Nothobranchius furzeri: one gene and its partner. Each later gene encodes a partner of the first gene's protein in a complex. Links are inferred from orthologs where the notes say so. Each region holds a gene or a part of one and is shown on either strand. Other genes may lie near its edges.

Evidence for each region. Proteins that work in one complex are often made in the same cells at the same time.
Region 2: the proteins of mapkap1 (region 1) and mlst8 are in contact, whole or in part, in a cryo-EM structure (PDB 7PE8), measured with the Homo sapiens proteins. The link is inferred for Nothobranchius furzeri from reciprocal best matches to the Homo sapiens genes MAPKAP1 and MLST8. Residues at the interface, in NP_001006618.1 of Homo sapiens: Lys102, Cys103, Lys104, Asn105, Ile106, Gln107, Trp108, Lys109, Arg111, Asn112, Ser113, Lys121, Leu123, Phe124, Glu125, Lys126, Lys127, Ser128, Leu129, Gly137, Lys138, Gln139, Ser140, Ile141, Leu142, Val144, Arg145, Leu146; in NP_001186102.1 of Homo sapiens: Ala29, His30, Pro77, Ile78, Ile79, Ser80, Tyr81, Asp82, Gly83, Arg98, Arg110, Ile111, Trp112, Gln120, Cys121, Gln122, Arg123, Ile124, Asn139, Gln140, Ala141, Leu157, Lys158, Ile203, Glu206, Ser279, Gly280, Asp281, Gln283, Asp322.

The regions. Positions count from the first base shown.
Region 1 is NC_091746.1:36,982,464-36,987,490, reverse strand, and holds the start of mapkap1 (target of rapamycin complex 2 subunit MAPKAP1), read right to left. Parts: upstream 3,209-5,027; 5' UTR 2,994-3,208; intron 1,374-2,993; 5' UTR 1,210-1,373; coding exon 927-1,209; intron 1-926. UniProt on the Homo sapiens protein: Component of the mechanistic target of rapamycin complex 2 (mTORC2), which transduces signals from growth factors to pathways involved in proliferation, cytoskeletal organization, lipogenesis and anabolic output.
Region 2 is NC_091756.1:30,073,523-30,078,515, reverse strand, and holds the start of mlst8 (target of rapamycin complex subunit lst8), read right to left. Parts: upstream 3,160-4,993; 5' UTR 3,066-3,159; intron 3,060-3,065; exon of another isoform or gene 2,864-3,059; 5' UTR 2,828-2,863; coding exon 2,699-2,827; intron 2,583-2,698; coding exon 2,531-2,582; intron 1,757-2,530; exon of another isoform or gene 1,621-1,756; intron 1,061-1,620; coding exon 898-1,060; intron 830-897; coding exon 754-829; intron 663-753; coding exon 510-662; intron 427-509; coding exon 302-426; intron 218-301; coding exon 54-217; intron 1-53. Other genes in the region: meiob (meiosis-specific with OB domain-containing protein), read right to left, coding at 4,750-4,863, 4,943-4,993.

The DNA.
Region 1 (5,027 bases):
GGGTCCTTTGGCAGTTGGCCACACAGGCAGTAGGGCCGAGCTCCAATTGTAGCCACAGCCACGAGGGCGCGCCAGTAGCCACAAATGGCTGTGACTGCTATCCTGTAGCTACGAGAAGAGTCAATGGCCATAGCTATGAATTGCTGTGACAGCACCCACTGCCCAGACAGACTCCTTTACTTTAAAGGTTTTGCGATAGGTTAACACTTAACTGAGAAGGATTGTTTTGGCAGTTTATAAGTACAATGACTACAAAATGTGTTCATATTTGAAACTTTCTTCATATTTGATGTTTAATGAATGTCTTTAGTGTACTTCAAACTGGTTCACCGGGGCTGTGCGGTGCTCTGCCCGTAGCACAGTAGCTGTGGTCATAGAAGTCAACTGCTATGCTCATAGAACAGTGGCTATAACTACAACCACAGACCCAGCCCGCCTAATGAGTACCACTGGCCTATGAGCTTGACCCTCCCATAGTCCAGTCAGAATTGACAAAGCTCCTCTGGTAAGAAGCAAAACGCCTTCAAGAAGCAAGTAAGTCCAGTTGCCTTCACCAACACAGGGAGGTTGTGATGTCATACTGAACAATCAGAAACGTCATGATGATAGTGGTAATGCTAATGTGTTGTACATTTTATAAGGGGATATGTCAAGTCTCAGTTCTGGAGCCTCAAATGAAAAGAAGCAAAGGGCACACGAACACACACACAAACACGGTTCTACCTGCCTCACACCCACACATCCCACAAAACAATCAATTAAATTCACATCGACAATCATGATTCTTGTAGCAGCAGCAACATGTTTTGATAACATGATTTCCTTAAACAAAACAAACCAAACCCACATTAGTCCAGATTAGACCCCTCCAAACCTCTGAGGAACTGTACACCTACAAACACGCCAGAGCCTGGACACGAGCTCACCTGTGTTGGAGCGCCGACGAATGCCAAAGTCCCAGCTGGAGGTGATGTCCATGGACTGAGACAGCTCGCACGTATGACCGTCCACCATGCCACTGCTGTTTTCACTGAGAGAGTTTGAACCAGAAGATCCACAGCTGCTGCCAGGCACCAGAGTGAGCTGGCACTTCTCCAGATCCACATCCTGGTCTATTAATACCATCTCACACATTCCCGTATCATCGCTGGTCACGTGGGACTGTCTGATGTGGGCTAGAATGATGGCCGGATTGTCCAAGAAAGCCATTTCTAGTGCTTTACAAACAGCTTCACTCTCTGCTGAATGAGGCTCTCTCTTCAGTTTTTATTCAGCAATGTTGAAGCAGCAACTGATGATACGCAGAGAGGAATCATCTCTTCCCTCTTGTTCTCCTTACTTCTCCTTCAACTCCATTAGACAAGTCCCACTACCTGTTCAGAATGAAAAACTTAATCCACAAAGCAGGATAAAATTAAGAATCAGGACTGGTAATACATAAAAATTAATATTAATAAAATATTTTGTTTATATTAGTGTTTTGAATAGTTTGCATTGTGATACATCAATTCAAAGATACTTTAATCCCAGCGCTGCAGGAAGAAGAGTGTAGTAGTTATGATGAGAAGCTCTAATTTCTCATAAATATATAAACTGAGCTGAATTCTTGCAGTTTCACTGAGATGACAGTTTGTTACTGGGCACACCGGGCTGCTATGGATGGACATAAACAGAGAATACAACAAAAACAAAATAGGTTTCACACTCAGCTTATCTGAATATTGTTCATAATCTAGTCAGAAACATCAGTTTCTTTTGTTGACACTGAACGACCATGTTGTTAAATTGAACAGATAAACACCATTAGCAGGGTGAACATAGTCACATCCCATAACAGACAGAAATCACGAGATTTGCAGAAGCCACTCATATGTATTCCGCAAATCATAGTATGCTGACGAAGACAACTATACAGGCCATAAAGAGAAATGTCAATTGTTTTCTTTTGTCACATTTCCTATAAGCACAATAAAAATCTACAGTTGACAACTTTACTTGTTATTATAGTCATATCTCCATTTGCACGTGTCTACAATGTGATATCCACAATTATGTGAGAACGTGTTTCAGTTGCTAACAGGCACCAGAATTTTAATGTTGGGAAAACTGTCAACCTACGCCGCTGTTACGTTGATATGTGTTCCCCCCTCTATTTCTGCTTCTTTTGCACCCAGCTGCAAATGGAAACAAACCAAACACAAGAAATAACCCTCACCCTAACCCTTACCCTAACCATAACCATAACCACCCTGGCACCAAAAATGTATGTTTTGCATAAATATATATATTATAAATATTATGTGTAGCACAATTTTTATGCTTGTTTCAGGGTTATGGTTAGGGTAAGGGTTAGGACACATTTTTTTGCGAGTGGATGATTCAAACTCGCTGCTGAGTGCCAAAGAAACAGATCTCGGGGGGGAGACACATATCAACGCAACTTCTAGCTGCTGCGTCCGTCTGCTTCTATCTGTTTTCCAGGCGAGGCGCTGCTCATCTCAAACAAGGCCAATGTCTATGGTGGCTGTTGCGTGGCTGGATGCCACCGCCACGATTTGAGCTCGGCCCTGCTGTTTTAACCTTACACTAACGAAAAAAACCAAACTTGGTTAGCAACGGTCACATCTGAAAGTCAGTTCCAGGAACAACTTTAGCTATTGCTAACATCGACAGGTGACAATTTTCAGTGTCGAGTTTTCACTTTACCCAAAACAGTTCGTAAATAGTTTTGTTATGACTTTATTTTACGTTAAAGGCTTGTTCATTACGTTTGTACAAACGTTTAAAATATCCAGGCTGAACATTCAGGCTCAGCTAGAGTTAGCCTCCCAGCTCTTCTAACCTTCAACATTAGCGTAAAACTCAGAAGTAGCTAAGCCTTCCGTCGACAGCTAAATGTAGCAGCAATCTTTGCAATTTACACCCAGGCCGTGTCACTTCAAATGAGTAAGACGAAAATCAGCTGTGGTGTTTGAGAGAACACTGGACCTAACCTGGAATCAGAGTCAGGGTAGTTAGCCGCTCTCACTGCAGTCAAAACAAGGAGCTTCATGAAAGGCCTCGATGAGAAAGAAAAGTGTTCACAACACAAGTCTTCTTCTCCATGAAAAATAAACTCAAAAGAAAACACTACTTTACTATTTTAAATATTGTAAAATCACAACACTATCTGGAAGCCCGTTTTAATCTGTAGTGCTCAGTGCACTGCTCACCCATGGTAAATCCATTTTTACTTCCGGGTAAAGATTTTCAGAATAAAATATCTACTTTCAATGCACTTTTTGTTTTAACACCATCAACGTGCCTTTTTAAAACTTATTTTTGTTTTCTGTCGATGGGTTGCCGATGTATTACACAGCCATGTCTTCACAATTTCCTGAAAGAAACATCTAGGATTTATTTTATGTGATGGCAAGACCGAAATTTCCAAGTGTAACACCAATACTTTGTAAAACATAAATGTATTTATTCGTTCATTTATTCATTTGTTCATCATTCATTCATTTATTTTTCCAGTACAAATTTGTAATAAAAAATACAAACCGAGCAGGACTACTCACATCAAATGAAACCTCAGAGATCCTCTTTTTGATGACACAAACCACTCTGACACAACAACCACGGCTTTGACACTTAAGCCTTTTTTAAAGTCAAGCAAAAACTTTAAGAGTTGGCTTCTCCTACCTTTGAGGCTCTCTGCAAGTCAAACTTTAACTCATTAGTTTAAGTTTTACTGGCATTATCCTGTTACACAATAACACTGCAATATTCATTATGTGTTCAATACTCGTGCAATACTGGATTTCCATTGCATGTCTGTGTCTCTTGCAGAATGCTGCATAGTTTTGGAACCCAAATTTTTTAATTTTTTATTCATGGTTTTAGTGGTCGAAGGTTACAACACTAGATGCCTATGTGTATATACATGTACCTTAAGGATGCACCGGCAGCAGGCCGATACCGGTATCAGTGAAAGTTAACCAATACCAGGAACCGATACCAATGCAGTTCAATCAATCAATCAAAGCTTTATTTATAAAGTGCCTTCCGCAACCCTGTCAGGAAGCCCAAAGCACTGAACATGGTACAGTTGTAAGTAAATATATTGAAAAAATCAGGACTGGTAATATATAAAAATTAATATTAATAACACACGGGGTGGGGGTGGTCGATGTGCATGTTGTGTGCGGTGGGGTTTGCTGGCTTAGTGTGTTGGCTGATGTGGCAGCAATGAGCCTTTTAGGCATCCAGCCTGCCTAAATTACTGAAGAAGGCTGTGCCATCAGTAGCCTGGGAGACAGCAGTGCAGGGGTCTTGCTGTCCTCCAGGCCTCAGAGAACGAAAGAGAGAAGAAGTGTGGAACGAACACCACGGGGAAAGGAGCCCTGCCCCCCCCCCCCCCCCCACGCTATTTCTGTCAAGCCAGACAGAATAGCTGAAGTGCAACCAGCTTACGCAGACTCGTCCCAGAGTCTTTGATTTCTGAGTTAATTTAAACTTGAGAAAGCGCATCTGCCGAACGCTTCAGCAACGTGTACCGAGGTCAACCCGGGACTGGGCTGCCACACATCTTCGTCTTCTCTGCCAGCCCAGGTGTCTTCTGGATAACACATCCTCCGGGGTCCGGATCTAAAGGGGGTCCTGAGTACGGTGAGGCAGAACACGATAGATAACGTTTTGATGCTGTTTTTCCTAATAAAAACTAAAGTTTAATTCAAAACATAATTTTTCACTCAGATCACCTTTTCTCTCCCTGAAGCAATCTCAGACACCTGCATGCACGCATTCATAATTAATATCCTCAATTTTAGCACATCCAACACAAGGTCTATTTGTGCAAGCTTAAAATATCAACAGTTAAAGATTGTCCAACAAGGTTGCCAATGTTGATTGTTTCCTATGATTGTCATTTCAAATCGTTAGTTTAAATTGAAGAATTAAAACTCTTAAATTTCAAACTTGTCTTTTCATTGAACTGAAACACAGACAACCGGATATGATCGTCAGTTTATCGATGAAAACAATCT
Region 2 (4,993 bases), on another chromosome or scaffold:
TTCCAAATGAACCCAGAATGTCGTTTACACCCCGTCCTCTACGGCAAACAGACCTGTAACGATGTACTGGGAGTCTCCAGAGAACGCACAGTCCCACATCCAACCCCGGGACGTCTCTCCTGGATTGTTGCTCTTGATGCTCAGCTCTGTCATCAGAGAGAAATTGGACGTTCTCCAGATCTTACAGGTCTGATCTGCTGAGCAGGTGGCCAGCAGTCTAGAGGTGAACACAAAAATGCAGCTGCAGCTCACGCAGAAAAGGGTTTCTGAATGTGTCGTGGTTTGGGGAGAAACCGCTCACGTGGAATCTGGGCTGAACTTGCAGCGCAGGGAGTAGCGTTTGTGTGCTGGGATCTTTGTTTTTGGAATGAGCTGAGTCACTTCATCTCCCATCCCTCCAGCCAGGTTCCACACATAACAGTTTCCCTGTTGAGCACAAAAAAGAACCGGTTTGCTTTTGTCTTTTTTAAATTACCCAGCATGGCCGATATTCTCATTTGCAGACTGACCGAACTGTTGACTGCTGCCATGTAACTGGCATCTGGGTCAATATGAACAGAGTTAACCGAGACTTCTGGTTCTGGAATCAGCTGTTCGTTGTGGTCTGTTTTCAGATCCCAAATATGAATCACTCCACTCTGGTCTCCGACTATCAACTCAGCCTGGAAAACACACAACAGTTAGAGCATTTGGAAACACTGTCACTTTAAACTAAAAGACTAAGATCCCAGAGACAAACGCAGCATGGCTAACCTGGTTGGGATGCAGGCACACACAATTAATGGGAGCGTTTACTTGAAAGATCCTCTGACACTGCAGGTTTCTGGACCTAAACAAGAAGCAGGGTTTATTTTAAGTTGGAGCTCACGGGTTTTCAGTAAGTCCTGCTACACTGACCTCAGGTCCCATATGCGAGCCATGCAGTCCTCTCCTCCCGTGTACATCCAGCGCCCGTCTTCATGGAAGCCCACAGAAGTGATGTTCTTGCTGACGCCGTCGTAGTTGATGACGGGGTTTGGGTTGTTGGAGTTCAGGTCGTACATGCGGATGTGCTGGTAACCTTTGAAACAGAATGCACATTACCTGTGAGATAAATCCAAAGCGTTTAACGTTTTACTGGTTCAATTATTTGCTTTTCTTAAAGAACCTGTCTGATTTAGGGGTTGTACGAAATAGTCGACTAGTCGACTTCACGGCTCTGTAGTGACTTTTTATGCCTGTCATCAACTAGTCGCTGTCACGTCATAATGACTGACAAGATGCAGTCCTCGGAAAAGACAGCAGGTGATGAGCCCCTGCGCGTCTGGATCGAGGCGGAGGCGACGCGCTGTGCGGTACTGACACCGGCGGTAAAACGGACATTTAACCAAACTGTGACCTTTTCCCTCTTGCAATTTAACCTTCCCCTCACCCCCATCCTAATCTTAACCAGTTTGCGCATGCAAAGCTCTGATCGTTGACGCGCTCCAGACATTGCGTCCTGAGCACCGCCAAATCAGGTGTCACCACCTCAAAAACAAATTAAACACGCGATCGTTCATGTCGGCTCATTTCCTTTCATGTTTTCTGTCTGTTATTTGTGCCTGATGCATTTCGCTGCTGCGGAGCGATGCGCATCACCTGTTGTCCTCCGGTGACGCACCCCCAAGATTCCACTATCTCTCCACTCCGCTCTGGCACGAACTCCGCAGCAAAAACGGTCCCGTTGTAGTTGGCCGGCGAGCAGCGGCACTCCGCTGTTTTTGCGGTCGGTAGATCTTTTAGAACTGCAGTTCAAAGGTAACTCATAAGGTGAATATATATGAACCCAGGTAGCAGGTTTTCTTTAGGACTGAGAGGAGATGCAGGAAGATAATAAAGACAGGACAGAAAAATAGTCAAATAAAAACAAGTTAGTTTTTGTACCTGGTGGTTGCAACAAACAGACACCACTGAATGTAATCAGAAGTGAGGAACAGAAAATGAAATCATTATTTGAATGTTTAGAGCAGCAGGAAAGGCTGCAGGCGCATCAGTGAGATTGCGGCTGCTGCGCAGGGGGAGGGGGGAGAGGACTGAAGTAGGATGCAGAAACTACCGTTGTTAAAAGAGATGTGTTAACTTAGAAAATGTGGGCGCAATTTTAATTGTCAAAAACTCCAGCGAATCTATCGACCGACCCCCCCCCCCCCCGCCACTTCCGGCGTATGACGTCATCAACGACTAGTCGAAGTCGACTTGACTTTCATTACTTGACTGTCGACTTTAAAAAAAATAAAGTCGTGCAGGCCCTAGTCTGATTTTGTTTTTTGCAAATGCCACCAAATCCCATAAACTAGTCCCATTCTTCGCTCAGTATTTTGCTGAAGCATTCAACAACAACTAGAGCCAATGAGGTCCTTTTCAAATCCTGTCCAACCAACTGAACCCATCGCAGGTAGATTCTGAAGGCGGATAAGCTTTACAAAACAATTTATATTTTATAAATATGGGGTACTGTAAGTAGAGAAACACACAACGTGAAGCTCTATTGATGCATGCATGAACCAACCTGCAGCTGCAATCATACTTCTGTCAGGCGTCACCTCCAGGGAATTGACTTGCTGGGGGAAAATGTCAAGAAAATAAACTTTTATTATATGTCTAATTATTGCATTCTGTTTCTGTAAAGGGTTTCTTTAAAAACAAATACGACAATCGTTAGCTCAAGCACAAGTACCGAGTCCTGGTGCTGGACCGTCCTGGTGCAGATCCCACTGTGGGCCTGCCAGAAGCGGACAGTGTGGTCATATCCCGCCGTGGCCAGAATAACCGGGTCGCTGCCCACCGTCCCCTGGTTCACATTCATGTTTCCACAGCAGTCTGGTTGTCAGAACCGTCAATGCTACACTAAGATAATGAAAATTAGCATTCTGACCTTTACTAAAAGGGATGAAAATCACAGCTTAACAGAAGCTAGTCTTAGCTCAACAAGCTAACCAAGGTCGAAGTTTAACACTTTCGAGATTAAACCGTTTTCTGCGACAACACCTCTCACCTTACAGTAAAACAGCGATATTTGATAAACAGCATTTTGTTTACATTACCCTCTGCCGTCGATTCAGGAAAAAACGCGTCTTGGTTAAAAGCGTCCTCCAGAAACCAGAGTTCCGTTACAAACGTTCCGTGTTGATGAGTGCATTACCGCCACTTACTGGTGAATTAGAAATTAACAGGACGAACTGTCTGGATTTACGTCATGTTAATAATAAATATATTGCATTTATTAAGAATAAAATACCTCTAAGTCTACCGTGGGTTTAGTTTCGCCCTGAGGCCGCACGATCTGATGTTTATAGAGCTGCAGTTAACCGCTTCAGCTTGTTTATTTTATCGTGTTCAACACAAATAATTAAAAGTTAAGTAGTCTGCATATGTAAAGATGATATGGCTTTCCAGTCATCTAGACAAACTACGCTAATTCAATAATCGTAGTAATTTTAAGTGGTTTTATCTTCAACCACTTGTCTCCAGAAGAGGGCGATCCCTTACTCTCGAAAGCTAGACTCAGTTCTCGTTTTTTCATCCAGCTGACCTAGCTAAACATAAAAATTCATTACATATGTGGCCATTAATCAAAACAAATGACAGATTATAAGTACGGTAATTAAATTAAACGTTTATTCAGATAAAGAACAACCCGTATAAAAGAACTGTTTCTCTATTCTGTAGTTGTTACTTTTGCTGCATTTGTTTTCTTTTATTTAAATTATATGAAAAGGTTACAAATTTGTGAGATCCAAACAAATCTAAATGGTTTTCCTGTTAAAACAGAAATGTTTACCTTTTGAAAAATAATTCCCATGTATGAATGTCTGTTTATTAGACGCTGTTGAGTATTTATTGGTCAATAACTAATAATTAAGTTTGATATCTGACATGTTTGATTAGAAACTACAAACTCATGCTGGTAAAAATGTTATCTAAATATATTTATTTGACCTATTTGATGCATAGACTTTTAAGTTATGTTATGCAATAAAATAAACATTTGATTACTTGTTTTTAAATATGACTGAAAATATTTAATAAGCAGACGCCCAGCGCAACACCCGCTCACACATCTGAAGTAAGCCACTGATATGTGAACTCATGTTTTCACCAGTCGTTTTAAAATCAATGCATATAAAAGTACACATGACTGAATCAATACAAAAGTTAATTCATGCAATTATTGATGCTTATACTACCATTTGTACTCTTTAATAGTAACATTACCCCTCTTGTTGTCTATTGAATTTGTCTTTATTTCATATATAAATATTCTGTAATTTTTTATTGTCTCATAATAAACCTACATATAGTGGTTTTACATTTAATAACTACTATTTTGCCTTCATAAGCTTATTTATTCTTAAAATTAGCAGCTTCAATCCTCCACTGAATACGAATTGTTTAAAGTAGAATAAACCCACTAATTGAAATGTTTTAAGGTTTTAATTAGAAAACAATCTTTTTAACTCACTGGCTGATTATTGACATTAATGCAACAGAAGAGTAAACATGATCTCACAGGATATTATCAGCACACTGCTTTTAAACAGATGTTTATTTTAACATTTATCAAACACTTTAATAACATGAATAAATACATTAAGTTAAATAAATAAATATTGTGGATACATAAATTATCGTTAATACACAAAACCCACATCCTCCGAGCACCATCTGAGCCAAACAGAACTGTGATGACCCAGGCTGACAGGAACAGATGTGCTGAACATCTGCTGATTAAACATGCTGCAGCAGAGCCGACATGTGCTGCTTCACCTCTCCCGGATCCGCCAGCGAGCAGGACAGGATCGCCCCTCTGATCCCGCTCTTCATCTTAGTAGAAGGAACGATCTACAACACATTGTGTGATTTTAGAAACACGTGACTTGTTTTGAAAGAAACTTACAGAGAGATCAGAGGCTCACTGTACCTTCACATATATTTTGCACCTTTCCAAAAGAAGCCTCCATTTCAGAGCAGT